Linked DNA regions of Caenorhabditis elegans. The protein of the gene in region 1 purifies or fractionates together with the protein of each later gene. This does not show direct contact. Each region holds a gene or a part of one and is shown on either strand. Other genes may lie near its edges.

Region 1 (3,124 bases):
ATTAGAGAAAAGAATAGTAATTCCTCTGATGAATAGAATCATCTAGACACTGAGAATATTGATAGAGAAATAATGGAATATATGGTCTCAAATAGATTTTGTCTCGAAATTCTTGAACATCCAAATTTAAATGTGAAAATTTTAGGAAATAATTTTGAGCTTTCTGATAGTTTTTCAGCTTTTGAAATGTATTTTATTTTGAAACCAATATTTATTTCATTTTCTGTCTCATCTAATTCTCAGTTTGCATGCGTTACTTTAACTTACACACTAACTCTTTTTTTATTCAAATTTTGATGTTTTTTTTTCAATTGTTTTACTCAAATTTCCCCTCTAAACCATACTACCACCTACCTCCTCAAATTGCACTCTCAGGGATTCTTTTTTTTTTCAAATAGAACTGATTGCACCTGTTTTCAGGATCTATAAATCTTATAATATATTTAACTTTCGTGTCTTTTCATGTTCATGTATTTCTTGCTGAAATCCATCATTTTCTCTGAAAATCTCTACTCGTAAGTTCCGCTATTGCGGGCGAACGCTGAAATAAATCGAGAGTTTTGTTTTTATATTGATTGAATACATATTTATCACAGAATCATGCAATTTAACAATCCTCAACAAGTTGGCGGGATTTGGCAAGAATTGATTGTTGGGTGGATACAAGGTCGAGAATCGTCTGAAAAATGGATTTGAAATTAAATTCCTGAGATTTTCAATACCTGAATAGAATTTCTATAAATTTTTCGAGCGTCCTTTGCAGCAGCCGGCTCAAGAACCCCAAACGGACGGAATTGTCCAGAAAATGTTTTTTTGGCTTCTTCAACGTCTTCTGATTCTCCGCTATTCTTCTTTTCTGATTTATTCTCGTCCTTCTGCAAAAAATTTAAATGTAAATTTTTGTGGAACAAAAAACGATTGCAAAAAACCTTTTTCTTATTCTTTTTGTCGTTTTTCTCTTCCTCATTCTCTGAATTTTTGAGAAGTACAAATTTCCCGTTTTTCGTATCCAATCTAAAAATGAATACACTTAAGTAAGTATAATTCAAAAAAAAGTAGTTTATACCTGATAGATGGCTCCAAATCGTGTGTATCGACAGAATTAACACTGAAAAGACCAATTCCGTGCGTTGTTCTGAACAATTTCTCGATAAAGATTCATTTTACGAAACGAATAAAACTTACTTTGCTTTAGAAATACACAAACTTGCCAAGTTCAAGTCTTTTCGAAGTTGATCGTGAAGGGTGATGAATTTGTCGATTAATTCCATTTTTTCGAGGTATAAATCATTTTTCTGATTTATTGATTGCGCAGGCATCACTGGAAATATACGCTTTTATTGTAAAGCAGTAAGGAAAAAGAGAAAATGATTGAAAAAAGCAGAGAACGATCAAAAATTGGTTGAAACAGCAAGTGCGCCCTATTGCACAATGCTAATGAAAACCGAGGGAATTCAAATTAGAAATGTCGATGGGTCACACAACATTTTGTCCTAGAGTATTTAATTTAAATAATCGGAAATTTCTGAACAATCTTGGAAAAGTTGAAGCTAACAATAAAATGTATATAAATCCAGTATTTAAATTAATTTTTTTCTATAAAAACCCAAGGTCGGAGAGATTACGTGTGAGATAATAATCCAGAAACAAAACAATTCAGTTCTTATAAGTTATTTCGTTGGCGATCGCAAAACGAGAAGATTTGCACTCAAATCGTAAGTTTTAATCAGATTTCTTTCGGGTTTGAGATTTCCGTCGTTGGCATTGCTTCAAGCCTACTTGCATACTTAATACCTTCGTGAACTTTGTGTTTGATGCTACAGTTGTAGTAATTTCGATTGGTTTTGTTGAAAATCAGAATAAAGAAAGCAAGGCTCTAGGCTGCTGGTAGGCACGAGGCAGGCGAAGGCATAGGTTCCTACTGTGGAGGAATACGGTAACGCCATTAGTACGCAAACATAGCGGTTCTCACGACAAAATGCTTTGGTATTCTTGATGCTCTAGAGTTGAAATATGGATTACCAGTGAATGACGAGGATATCGATAATCGACTTGAAAACTTTTAATTTTATCAGCAAATAGACTTTTCATCTAAACCGATTTTGATGCTTTTTAAACTGCGTTAAGCTGTGTAAAGTTTTCGTAATTTTGGCGCTACAGTACCACAAAAAACTATTTAAAAACAATCCAAAAGCATTATTTCATGAAAAGTTTTTCAGAAGTCGAATAAGTGAGTCCAAAATGATTCGAAGACGTCATTCAACAACTCGTATTGATCGTCGTCCAGATGGTCTCACAATCTATTACAAGCGAGCCAATGATGATATGGAAGAGGAAATGTTGAGAGTTTCAGTAAAACCTGAAGGAAAGAATATTAATGATTCACTTCGTTCATCTAAATCATCTTCGTCTCCTCCATCAAGAAACTCATCTCTGAATCTCAAAACTCTCAAAAAAGATCGCAAATCAAAAGAAGGCAAACCGAAGTCATCATCGAAACATGGAAAACGAATGACGTCACGTGCAATCCACGTATCAAAGAAATGGAGTCAATTCAACAGACGTGAAGACAAAACTGACTATTTGGATGATGAAACAATGCAGATTTTGGAGGATTTGAAGATTTTAAACTGTAAAATTAGAAAACGATTCCAAATTGGAACCACGTGTCCGCACAGTTTGGCAAAGACCGACATTTTGTGAGTTTTTGATCTTTTAAGAATGGGCAGGCATGATATAGGCAAGTGGGAAGGCTGATGCGATGTAGGCACGTAGATAGACAGGCAGGAATTGGTAGGTACGCAGCTAGATATGTAGATACGTAGTAGGAAGGAAGACGTTGGAAGGCTGACATGACACGTCTCCAGGCATTCTTCAGATCCATGCCTAGCTGCTTTCATGACTGTATGCCTACTTGCCTGCTTATATCTCTATTCTTCTACACGTCGCCCTCTACGTGTTCAATCAGATTTCTACCACAAATGATAAAGCATAAAAAGAAATATCGGAAAATCTCCGTACTCTTGTGAAAACAAAAATCATTGTAATCTGAAAATTTTAGATCGTCTTCACAATCTTCCAAATCGCAAAAATCATCGACAACCACAAGTTCACCTGTTCTGAC
Region 2 (5,554 bases), on another chromosome or scaffold:
AGTCCCGCCAAATTTATGAATTGTATTTGCGGCATGGCCGAGCTTTCTCTTCCGCGGCTACGTTGCTAATGTTTTTTTGCTAAATGTACAGTGCTCCACATAATGATACGGCCACCCCCAAATTTTGGTATAACTCAAAACTGGGTTGAGATAGCAAAACATAGTTTCTTGTGAAAATGTTCGCTGTACTGGCTAACTTTCAGTTAAGTATTGGAAATATACCTGAACCGTTTGTAAAAAATATAAACCATTTTTTCATGAAAAACCATATAAAAAATCCACAAAATGATACGGCCACCCTTGGTTTTCGTTTTCTTTTTTCGTTTTCTTTGCAATTTTTTTTGCTAAACGTTAAGTTTCATGTTCGTTTGTGTTTTTACAGCTATGGGTCGTGGAATAACTTCAACTGACTACGAAAAAGGACAAATTGTGCCAAATTATCTCAAGGCTTCTCGAATCGTCAGATTTTTCGTGATTTGAAACTTTCGAGAGATATGATCACTCGATATGCTTCCAATCCTGCCGCTTATTGCACAAAAAAGTCTTCTGGTCGCACACCTTTTCTTTCTGTCAGACCCAAAAAAAAAACCGTTCGTCGAGCATCCAATTGAACAGTGACTTGCTCGAAAAGTAGGAGCGAGATGAACCTGGCAGTGTCTGTTGAGGCCGTACGACATGTTCTTTTGAAGTCTCAGTTTAACAAAAGACGAAAATTAAGAAAGGCTCCATTCATTACCAAAAAACCGCCAAAACCGTATTCAGTTTGCTAAAATCAGTCAGGGAACTAACTGAAGACAAGTGAGGATTACGGTATAATCATTCAAGCCCAGTTTTTGGTTTCAGTTCATCTTTTCTTTTCTCAAATCGTGCCACTAATCACGGTAGTAATCTGGTTCATTACAGTTAAACTTTTTCTCGTCACTGAAGATGAACTGAAACCAAAAACTGGGCTTGAATGATTATACCGTAATCCTCACTTGTCTTCAGTTAGTTCCCTGACTGATTTTAGCAAACTGAATACGGTTTTGGCGGTTTTTTGGTAATGAATGGAGCCTTTCTTAATTTTCGTCTTTTGTTAAACTGAGACTTCAAAAGGACATGTCGTACGGCCTCAACAGACACTGCCAGGTTCATCTCGCTCCTACTTTTCGAGCAAGTCACTGTTCAATTGGATGCTCGACGAACGGTTTTTTTTTTGGGTCTGACAGAAAGAAAAGGTGTGCGACCAGAAGACTTTTTTGTGCAATAAGCGGCAGGATTGGAAGCATATCGAGTGATCATATCTCTCGAAAGTTTCCAAATCACGAAAAATCTGACGATTCGAGAAGCCTTGAGATAATTTGGCACAATTTGTCCTTTTTCGCAGTCAGTTGAAGTTATTCCACGACCCATAACTGTAAAAACACAAACGAACATGAAACTTAACGTTTAGCAAAAAAAATTGCAAAGAAAACGAAAAAAGAAAACGAAAACCAAGGGTGGCCGTATCATTTTGTGGATTTTTTAAATATGGTTTTTCATGAAAAAATGGTTTATCTTTTTTACAAACGGTTCAGGTATATTTCCAATACTTATCTGAAAGTAAGTTAGTACAGCGAACATTTTCACAAGAAACTATGTTTTGCTATCTCAACCCAGTTTTGAGTTATACCAAAATTTGGGGTGGCCGTATCATTATGTGGAGCACTGTAGTATCGATACTACTAGATCAAAAGTAAATGTGAATAGTTACGGTTATGAATTATTGATTGTTTTTCCCCATCACTTTTTTTTCATGCTTCCCAGATGCCTTATCCATGTGAATATATTTATTCAAAAATCAGCTTTAATTTATTTTATATTTTCCCTTTTTTTCGGTTTTTCTCCTATGTTAGACATTCCATAAATAATGGGTTTTTAAAAAATAATTCTGTCTAATTTTTTCGGCGGTTTTAACCAATTTTCTATCATTTTCTATAATTTCCCTTTGTGTCCGTTGTTGAAATTTCCCCATTGACAGACATTTGATGATTCGGGTGCTCATTTCGCTTACAGTTATGGCTTCTGTGCTTCATGCTGAGCCAACTGTCGTTGTTGTTGGAGGTGGGCTCGCCGGGCTGTCTGCTTCACTGGATATTATCAATGGAGGTGGACGTGTGATTTTGGTAGAGGGAGAGGGAAATACTGGTGGAAATTCAGCGAAGGTAAGATCTTGCGAATTTTTGAAAAAAATCTATTTAACTTCTGGAAATATCGATTGTTAAAATTTATTTTCTCGCATTTTTTTGTTCCAAATTTCTGAAAAAGTTATTTATTTTACTATTAGTTGCAAATTGTGAAAAAAAATAATATTCTGTTTTTTTTCCTTTAAAACTGAAACGTCTCTGAAAAAATATGATAAATTAAAAAATTTCGATTGTAAGAAATTTTCAAATTTAAAAACAGTTAAATCGTGTGAAAAAGCTGGAAATAAAAAAAAAGAGTAACAAATTCTCGTTCTGAAAAATTTCAAAATTAAGTATGCCAAATTACAGTAAAATGTTTTAGTAAGTCTAGGTGATTTTTAAAAAAAGTGTCCAATATCCTCACTTCTTGAAAAAAATATTCCAGGCATCCAGCGGAATCAACGGTGCTGGAACCGAAACTCAGGAGAAACTGGGAATCAAAGATTCGCCGGAACTTCTTGTCAAGGACACTCTGAGTGCAGGAGACTCTGAAAATGACAAGAAACTTGTGGAAATTCTGGCTGCTAATTCAGCAGATGCTGTTGAATTTCTGCGTGGAGTTGAAGTGGATCTGACTGATGTGAATCTATGTGGTGGGCATTCTGTACCACGTACTCATTGGATTCCATCTCCAAAGGAAGGACGACCAATACCAGCTGGTTTCGAAATTATGAAGAGATTGAGAACAAGGCTTAATGAGAAGCAATCGGAGAATCCAGAAGCCTTCAAGCTTTTGACTCAGACTAAAATGGTTGGAATTTTGAGAGAAAATGGAAAAGTATCGGGAATCGAGATTGTAACATCAGCTTCTGGAGAGAAATCAAAGATCATCGGAGACGCTGTAATCCTTGCAACCGGTGGATTCTCTGCTGATGAAACTTTGCTCAAGGAATTTGGAGCTGAAATATTCGGATTCCCAACAACAAATGGAGCATTCGCTAAAGGAGATGGTGTGAAAATTGCGAGAGCTCTTGGAGCAAAGATTATTGGAATGGAAAATATTCAGATTCATCCTACAGCGTTTGTAGATCCAAAAGATCCATCAGCAGGAACAAAGTTCCTGGCGGCTGAGGCTATTCGTGGAAAAGGAGCTCTGCTTATTAACTCAAAGGGACAAAGATTTGGAAATGAGTTGGGAAGACGCGATTATTTAACTGGAAAGATTCTTGAGCTCGCTGAGCCAATTGAAGAGAGTTTCCAAGGAGGATCTGCTGGAAGAAATGCGGCGATTATGATTATGAATGAAGCAAATGTTGAGGCTTTTGGCAGACCTGCTTTCAATTTTTATTCGATTGTTAAGAAATTCTTTGGTAGGTTTTTTTCTGTGAAAAAGTTGGAAAACATTTTTTAAATTAGTTGTTTGTTATTTGAAAAATCCCAAACAATTTTTTTCAAATTTCATTTTTTTTTTCGAAATCCATTAACACTTCTCGAGAATAAGTTCGACAAAATCTTCGTATTAAAAATTCCCAGTTTAAAGATTTTTTTGTCGAAAATTTTATCAGCTTCCTTTTTTTTGGAGTTTAAAAGCATTTTAAATCCAAAACTAATTTTTTTTTCCGGAATTTCTGAAATTTTTAAAAATTCCCTTTTTCAAATTAATTTTTTTAATTTTTAGTTTTATATTATGAAAATTGTATTATTGCTCTGAAATCTGATTTTTTTCAGCGAAATACGAGAACTCCGCGGAGCTTGCAAAGGCTTTGGGTATCGACGAATCAGCTATTAAAACCACTTTGGAGGAATATCAGAAGAGTTTTGATGGAAAATCTGAAGATCCTTTCGGCAAAAAGGTATTCAAATATTTTTAATTTTAAAATTCTTGAAAAAATGACTAAGAATTCTGAAAAGTTGATCAAAATTGCATTTACTTTTAAAACAGACTTTATAAAATCAGAAAAGTGAAAGAAAAACTAAAATTCATAGATTTAGGAAAAATTGTGCTGAAATTGTATTATTAGAAACTTTGAGTAAAACGTTGAAAAATATCGAGAAAATCTTTCCCCGAATATTTGACGATCTATTTTCAATTTAAACTTTCCCAAGCCTAAATTTTTTTTCAAAATTAAAAAAATATCGTTCAGCAAAAAAAAATATCGAAACTGTAAAAACAAAGTTATTTTTGCATCGGAATTAGCCGAAAAATACCGAAACTGTAATAATTTCCCATTTCCAGGTGTTCCCAGTGTCTGCAATCTCTCCGACTGAGCCAATCTACGCAGCAATCGTCGTCCCAGCAATCCACTACACCATGGGTGGCCTGAAAATCGACGAGGCCACCCGCGTCATCGATGAGCATGGCAAGCCAATTGTCGGCCTTTTTGCCGCTGGAGAAGTCACTGGCGGAGTTCATGGTTCCAATCGATTGGCTGGAAATTCCCTGCTTGAATGTGTGGTGTTTGGCAGAATTGCTGGAAAATCTGCGGCTCAATCTGCTGCGGAGACTCGTACCGAGCTCTAATTCGAATATTTTTACAGAAAAAACTCAGTTTTGTGGCTCAATTCTACAGTATAATTCAGAAATTTTCAGTTAAAAAAAACATTTTTTCGCGATCCGGGATTCCCGGACCCCTGTAGATAATGATTCATTTACTAGTTCCAACCAACTTTATATGTTTTTATTATATCTACTACTCTATTCAGCATTTTTATTTTTCTTGTGATTTGCATCTTTATGGGTTCTTCTACACATATATTTATTTCTCATTTTCTCTTCATTTTCACACTCTCTCGTATTTATCGTGTTTCCTTCTTCGTATTGTGGTGTGTTTTTGGGTAATAAATGTGTTTTATTTTCAGAAGAAGCGGCAGACGATGATGATCAACGATGACGATGAGACGTTCGATGACCAATATCCAGCAGATGAAGTGACCGCAGCAACGATGCGTAGACTTGCTTTTGAAAAAATGGATGATGATTATTATCTCGGTGGAGCTGTTGGGGATGAAGTTTTTGATTCAGAGGATGATGTGAGGTAAATACACTGGAAAATGGGAGAAATTGTAATCAATGCCAAAAAAAGGAAATGCACAGCGTAAAAATTTTGGAAAAAAAAACTATTTTTCACTAAAATCACATGAATTTCTAAGTTTCCACCTTTTAAAAAAATCAGACACCGCTCGCAGGTTACGGTAGCAGTAATCCCCGACGCAGCTGAAATTCTTGCTACAGTACTCCATGCAGAAGTATTCAAAGAAAACGACCTTTTTTGGTTACTGTAGCTAAATTTTAATATGTTGGTTCAATAGAAAATCATTTTTGAGAAATATCCCTACTTCATCGAAAAATCAAGTTTTATTTCAAAACTATCCCGCTGATCAAACAAACACAGTATTCCTAGGCGAATCTA
Region 3 (3,538 bases), on another chromosome or scaffold:
TCAGACAAGGCAGGAGCATTTTAAAACTGTCGAAGATTTGGCTTCTTCACGTGACAAAGCAGAAAGACTTGAGAAAACTCTAAAAGTTCTCAAATCAGAACTCACCGAATCAGAAAAGGCTCACACTACGGCAATTGACGAACTTCAGTCGAGCTCTTCGAAGTTGATTCAAAGATTGGACGAAGAATTGAGATTAATGAGATCATCTCGTGATACTGCTGAACAAAAGATTAAAGATATAGAGATCGCAAAGGAAAAAGTAGATCATCTTCTGCAGAATGAGAGGCAAAGAAGTGAAAATGAGAATGGAAGTCTGAAAAGCAAGCTGTCAAGTGCAACAAAGCAGATTCACAGTCTAGAAAAGGAATTACAAGAGTTGAGAAATGACTTTGAAACTCGTCGAATTCAAAGCAATCAACACCAGCAGCAGAAAGCTATTGCAGCTGTCGTACCTCAGCCGATTCAGCTTCCAGAACATCCTATTCCACCTCTTCATTATCAAAGACCAGCAGTTGCTCCTTCTGATTCTGTTTCTTGTTATGATGAGCCAACACAGGTAAAAATTCTTTATTTACAGAAAAATTCATTGATGCAAAATATGAAGTTAATTGGGGAGAGAGGGGGGCAGGAATCAATAAGAAACCGTAGTCAAATAGATCGAATTAGCATTTTTGGAGAAGAGACTTGCACTCCGTGACGAATTGAGCATCATTCGATGAAGCGGCAGGTAAGACGATCGCCTTGTTCAGCATCTCACGTGCTTGCTGCTTCTCCTTCTTGGCAAGATGACATTTCGACAGGAACAGCAAATTCTCGATCCAATCAGCGTTTTGGTTGTAGGCGGCTTTGAAGTCGACGAGAGCGTCGTCGATCGTTGCTTTTGGAACTTCGCTGTAGAGCATTGAAGCTGCCTGGAAATTAGAGTGTTATTCGGAAGAATTCAAGACAAAAGATTATAAGAAACTCACTTTTCTTTCAAGCCATGAAAGGTTCGCGATGGTGTAAGAGAAGCGAGCACGAAGATGGAGAAGAGCAAAGTCGGTTGGATCCAATTCGAGAGCCTTGTCGAGCATGTCCTTGAGCCGTCCACCGTCATTGATCTTCTCCTTAGTTGGCAGTTGATCGACAACAAGTCCGAACATGATGGCAGTCCATTTAGCGGCAAGGAAGCTTGATGGATCAAGATCCATGGCTTCCAATCCGTAGTCGCGTCCTTCGATCAGCATCTTTCGTCGCTGCTCTCCGCTCATCGTCGTCGAAAGTTCGTGGCAGAAGCGGCACATTCTCCAGAGAAGATCACAAGTCATCTCGCCATCTTCACGTCGCTTTTTCAGCTCCTCGAGTCCTTTGACGAACTCGCGGCTTTCAAAGAGTTTGTCCGAGGTGGCAAAGGATTCCTGAAAATAAAAGAAATTGAAATTAATCGATTAAAAGAAGGTTTTGAATTAAAAACGTGCTAAATTTCGTAATGAGATTACTCAAAAAAATTATTCTATTCGACAAGTGACAAATTTCACCTAAAACTTTAATTTTAGCAACTTTTCCGTGTCGCTGCGGTTGGAGATTGAATCTAATCTCATATTATTTCGTTGATTTAGATTATTTAGGCCACATTACTGGCCTAAAACATCGAAATAAACGTCATCACAAGAGATAAACCACCAAAATAAAACAATAATCAAGGAAAAGTCACAGCGGCGCGGAAAAGTTGAAAAAATTGGGAGATTTCAGTGAAAATTAGCCGGTTTTTAAAGAAATGTTGAAGTGAAAAGCAAAAAAAAACTCACCATTTTTGGGGATGTTAGTAGAAGTAGTCGAATAAAAGATATCAGACGAGAAGATAATGACTGAAAAACGCTTCTTTTATATTCGACAAATTTGGAAAAACACGCGGGTCAATTTCTCGCGCGCGCGCGCGCAACAAAACAAAAATGAACATTCAGAGATCAAAACCGAATTTTCTGGAGAAACATTGAGAAAAAGTGATAAATAATATAAAAAATATTGTGCCACGCGCCTCAGAAAGTTCGTCATTCCTACGAAAACTACTTTTTAAAAACCTGTTTTTTTTTTCAGCCTGATCGGTCACTGGAGGATGTTTTGTATGGAGATCTCGGTGATGAATACAGTTAGTTTTATATTTTATATAAATAAGATTGTTTTCTAAAAAGTTACTTATTTCGAAATACTTGCAGGAGTCGAATCAGATGAACTATCGGAGGAGAAATTCAAGGTCATTCTAGACCAGTTAGAGAATTTGAAGAAAACAAATCATCACGTCGCAGAGCTTCTCAGTGATGCCGAGACTGCAAATGGAAGGTTAACAACTCAGGTAGAATTGGGAAAAGTTTTAGAATCAATATTTAAATTTCTAGAATTCACTGCTAAAAGATGAAATTCGCCGACTGGAACGAGAAGAAAAGCGAGAAGCCGAGTTGTCAAACGAGAAAAATATGGAATATTTGAAGAACGTATTTGTACAGTTTCTCAAGCCAGAAAGTGTTCCCGCAGAACGAGACCAGCTGGTTATCGTACTGCAGAGAGTTCTACATTTGTCACCGAAAGAAGTCGAAATTCTGAAAGCTGCATCAGGTGAGAGCACCCAGAGCAGGCTATAAAACAGATAAAAGAGGAATAGAGAAAGCGCTGAAAGAGATTGTGGTGGACAACTATTTCTCTGCAATAGCCAACGGCTGGCGGAAGAGAGGCAATAATATTGAACAATATCAACAAAAGTATTGTCCCGCCTTCTCAAAGTATTTCAACATCGCGAAGGTTTAGTGTTTTTACTAGTTGGGCGTTATTTAGGTGGAGAAGACGAAAACAACTTTAAAAACAAGTAAAACAATTCTCAATTTTCGGAAATAAGTCTCAAAAAATCAAAAATTGGGCTGCTACCATAAACTTTTTTATCGCGGTGTTACCCATCGGCATTAATAAATCGGTGCGCCTTTAAATCGGCGTTTCAGAAAAATTTATTTATTTTCGAAAATTTTCCAAAATAGAATTTACTACCTCCACTACTAAATACTTACGGATTAATCGTTCAACTTTTTTTCGAATTTATTTTTTTCAGCACATATGGCAACCGCTCAGGCAGGCTCGTGGTCTTCATACTTCTCGGGATGGTCTGGTGCTGCCACTTGAAATTATCAGATTTTCATAACATATTCGATTGTACAATTTTATTTTTATTATGTATTGCATGCTCAACCGGGTGCCCATTTCTTGTTTCTTTTGTGTGTGATAATTATTCTTTCAATGTATAGGTGATTTATTGTGTGACTTCACTACTTTTAATGAACAGAGTATGGTTTGTTTTTCGGATTATGTATTTATTTTTAATATCAGATGCGTTGTTGGCGCTCTTAAATACTATTTTATCTTTGAAATTATAAATTTAATCTCAAGAAAAGTCCTATTCAGATGGAGGAACCGACCACTAGTGAGCTGAAACTCTCAGATAATGTAATGAATGAGATAAGCGATATGTGCATCACAGAATACTGCAAACCTAATATGAGCCTGATGGCACAAA

Evidence for each region.
Region 2: the proteins of F02E9.1 (region 1) and F48E8.3 fractionate together in Caenorhabditis elegans (co-fractionation; one large-scale study listed by BioGRID). This does not show direct contact.
Region 3: the proteins of F02E9.1 (region 1) and rmd-1 fractionate together in Caenorhabditis elegans (co-fractionation; one large-scale study listed by BioGRID). This does not show direct contact.

What each region holds. Positions count from the first base shown.
Region 1 is NC_003279.8:8,405,073-8,408,196, reverse strand, and holds F02E9.1 (Vacuolar ATPase assembly protein VMA22), read right to left. Parts: upstream 1,370-3,124; 5' UTR 1,272-1,369; coding exon 1,186-1,271; intron 1,136-1,185; coding exon 1,067-1,135; intron 1,015-1,066; coding exon 930-1,014; intron 876-929; coding exon 723-875; intron 680-722; coding exon 608-679; 3' UTR 552-607; downstream 1-551. Other genes in the region: Protein lin-28, read left to right, coding at 1-36; F02E9.3 (Suppressor protein SRP40-like), read left to right, coding at 2,242-2,699, 3,062-3,124.
Region 2 is NC_003281.10:5,459,380-5,464,933, forward strand, and holds F48E8.3 (fumarate reductase (NADH)), read left to right. Parts: upstream 1-1,999; 5' UTR 2,000-2,036; coding exon 2,037-2,183; intron 2,184-2,589; coding exon 2,590-3,514; intron 3,515-3,872; coding exon 3,873-3,997; intron 3,998-4,380; coding exon 4,381-4,665; 3' UTR 4,666-5,003; downstream 5,004-5,554. Other genes in the region: F48E8.2 (E2F-associated phosphoprotein), read left to right, coding at 5,019-5,179.
Region 3 is NC_003281.10:9,757,403-9,760,940, reverse strand, and holds rmd-1 (Regulator of microtubule dynamics protein 1), read right to left. Parts: upstream 1,848-3,538; 5' UTR 1,791-1,847; coding exon 1,788-1,790; intron 1,398-1,787; coding exon 969-1,397; intron 912-968; coding exon 663-911; 3' UTR 557-662; downstream 1-556. Other genes in the region: gcc-2 (GRIP and coiled-coil domain-containing protein 2), read left to right, coding at 1-556, 2,077-2,128, 2,196-2,332, 2,376-2,592, 3,077-3,147; vps-53 (Vacuolar protein sorting-associated protein 53 homolog), read left to right, coding at 3,427-3,538. UniProt on the Caenorhabditis elegans protein: Acts in chromosome segregation and organization during mitosis.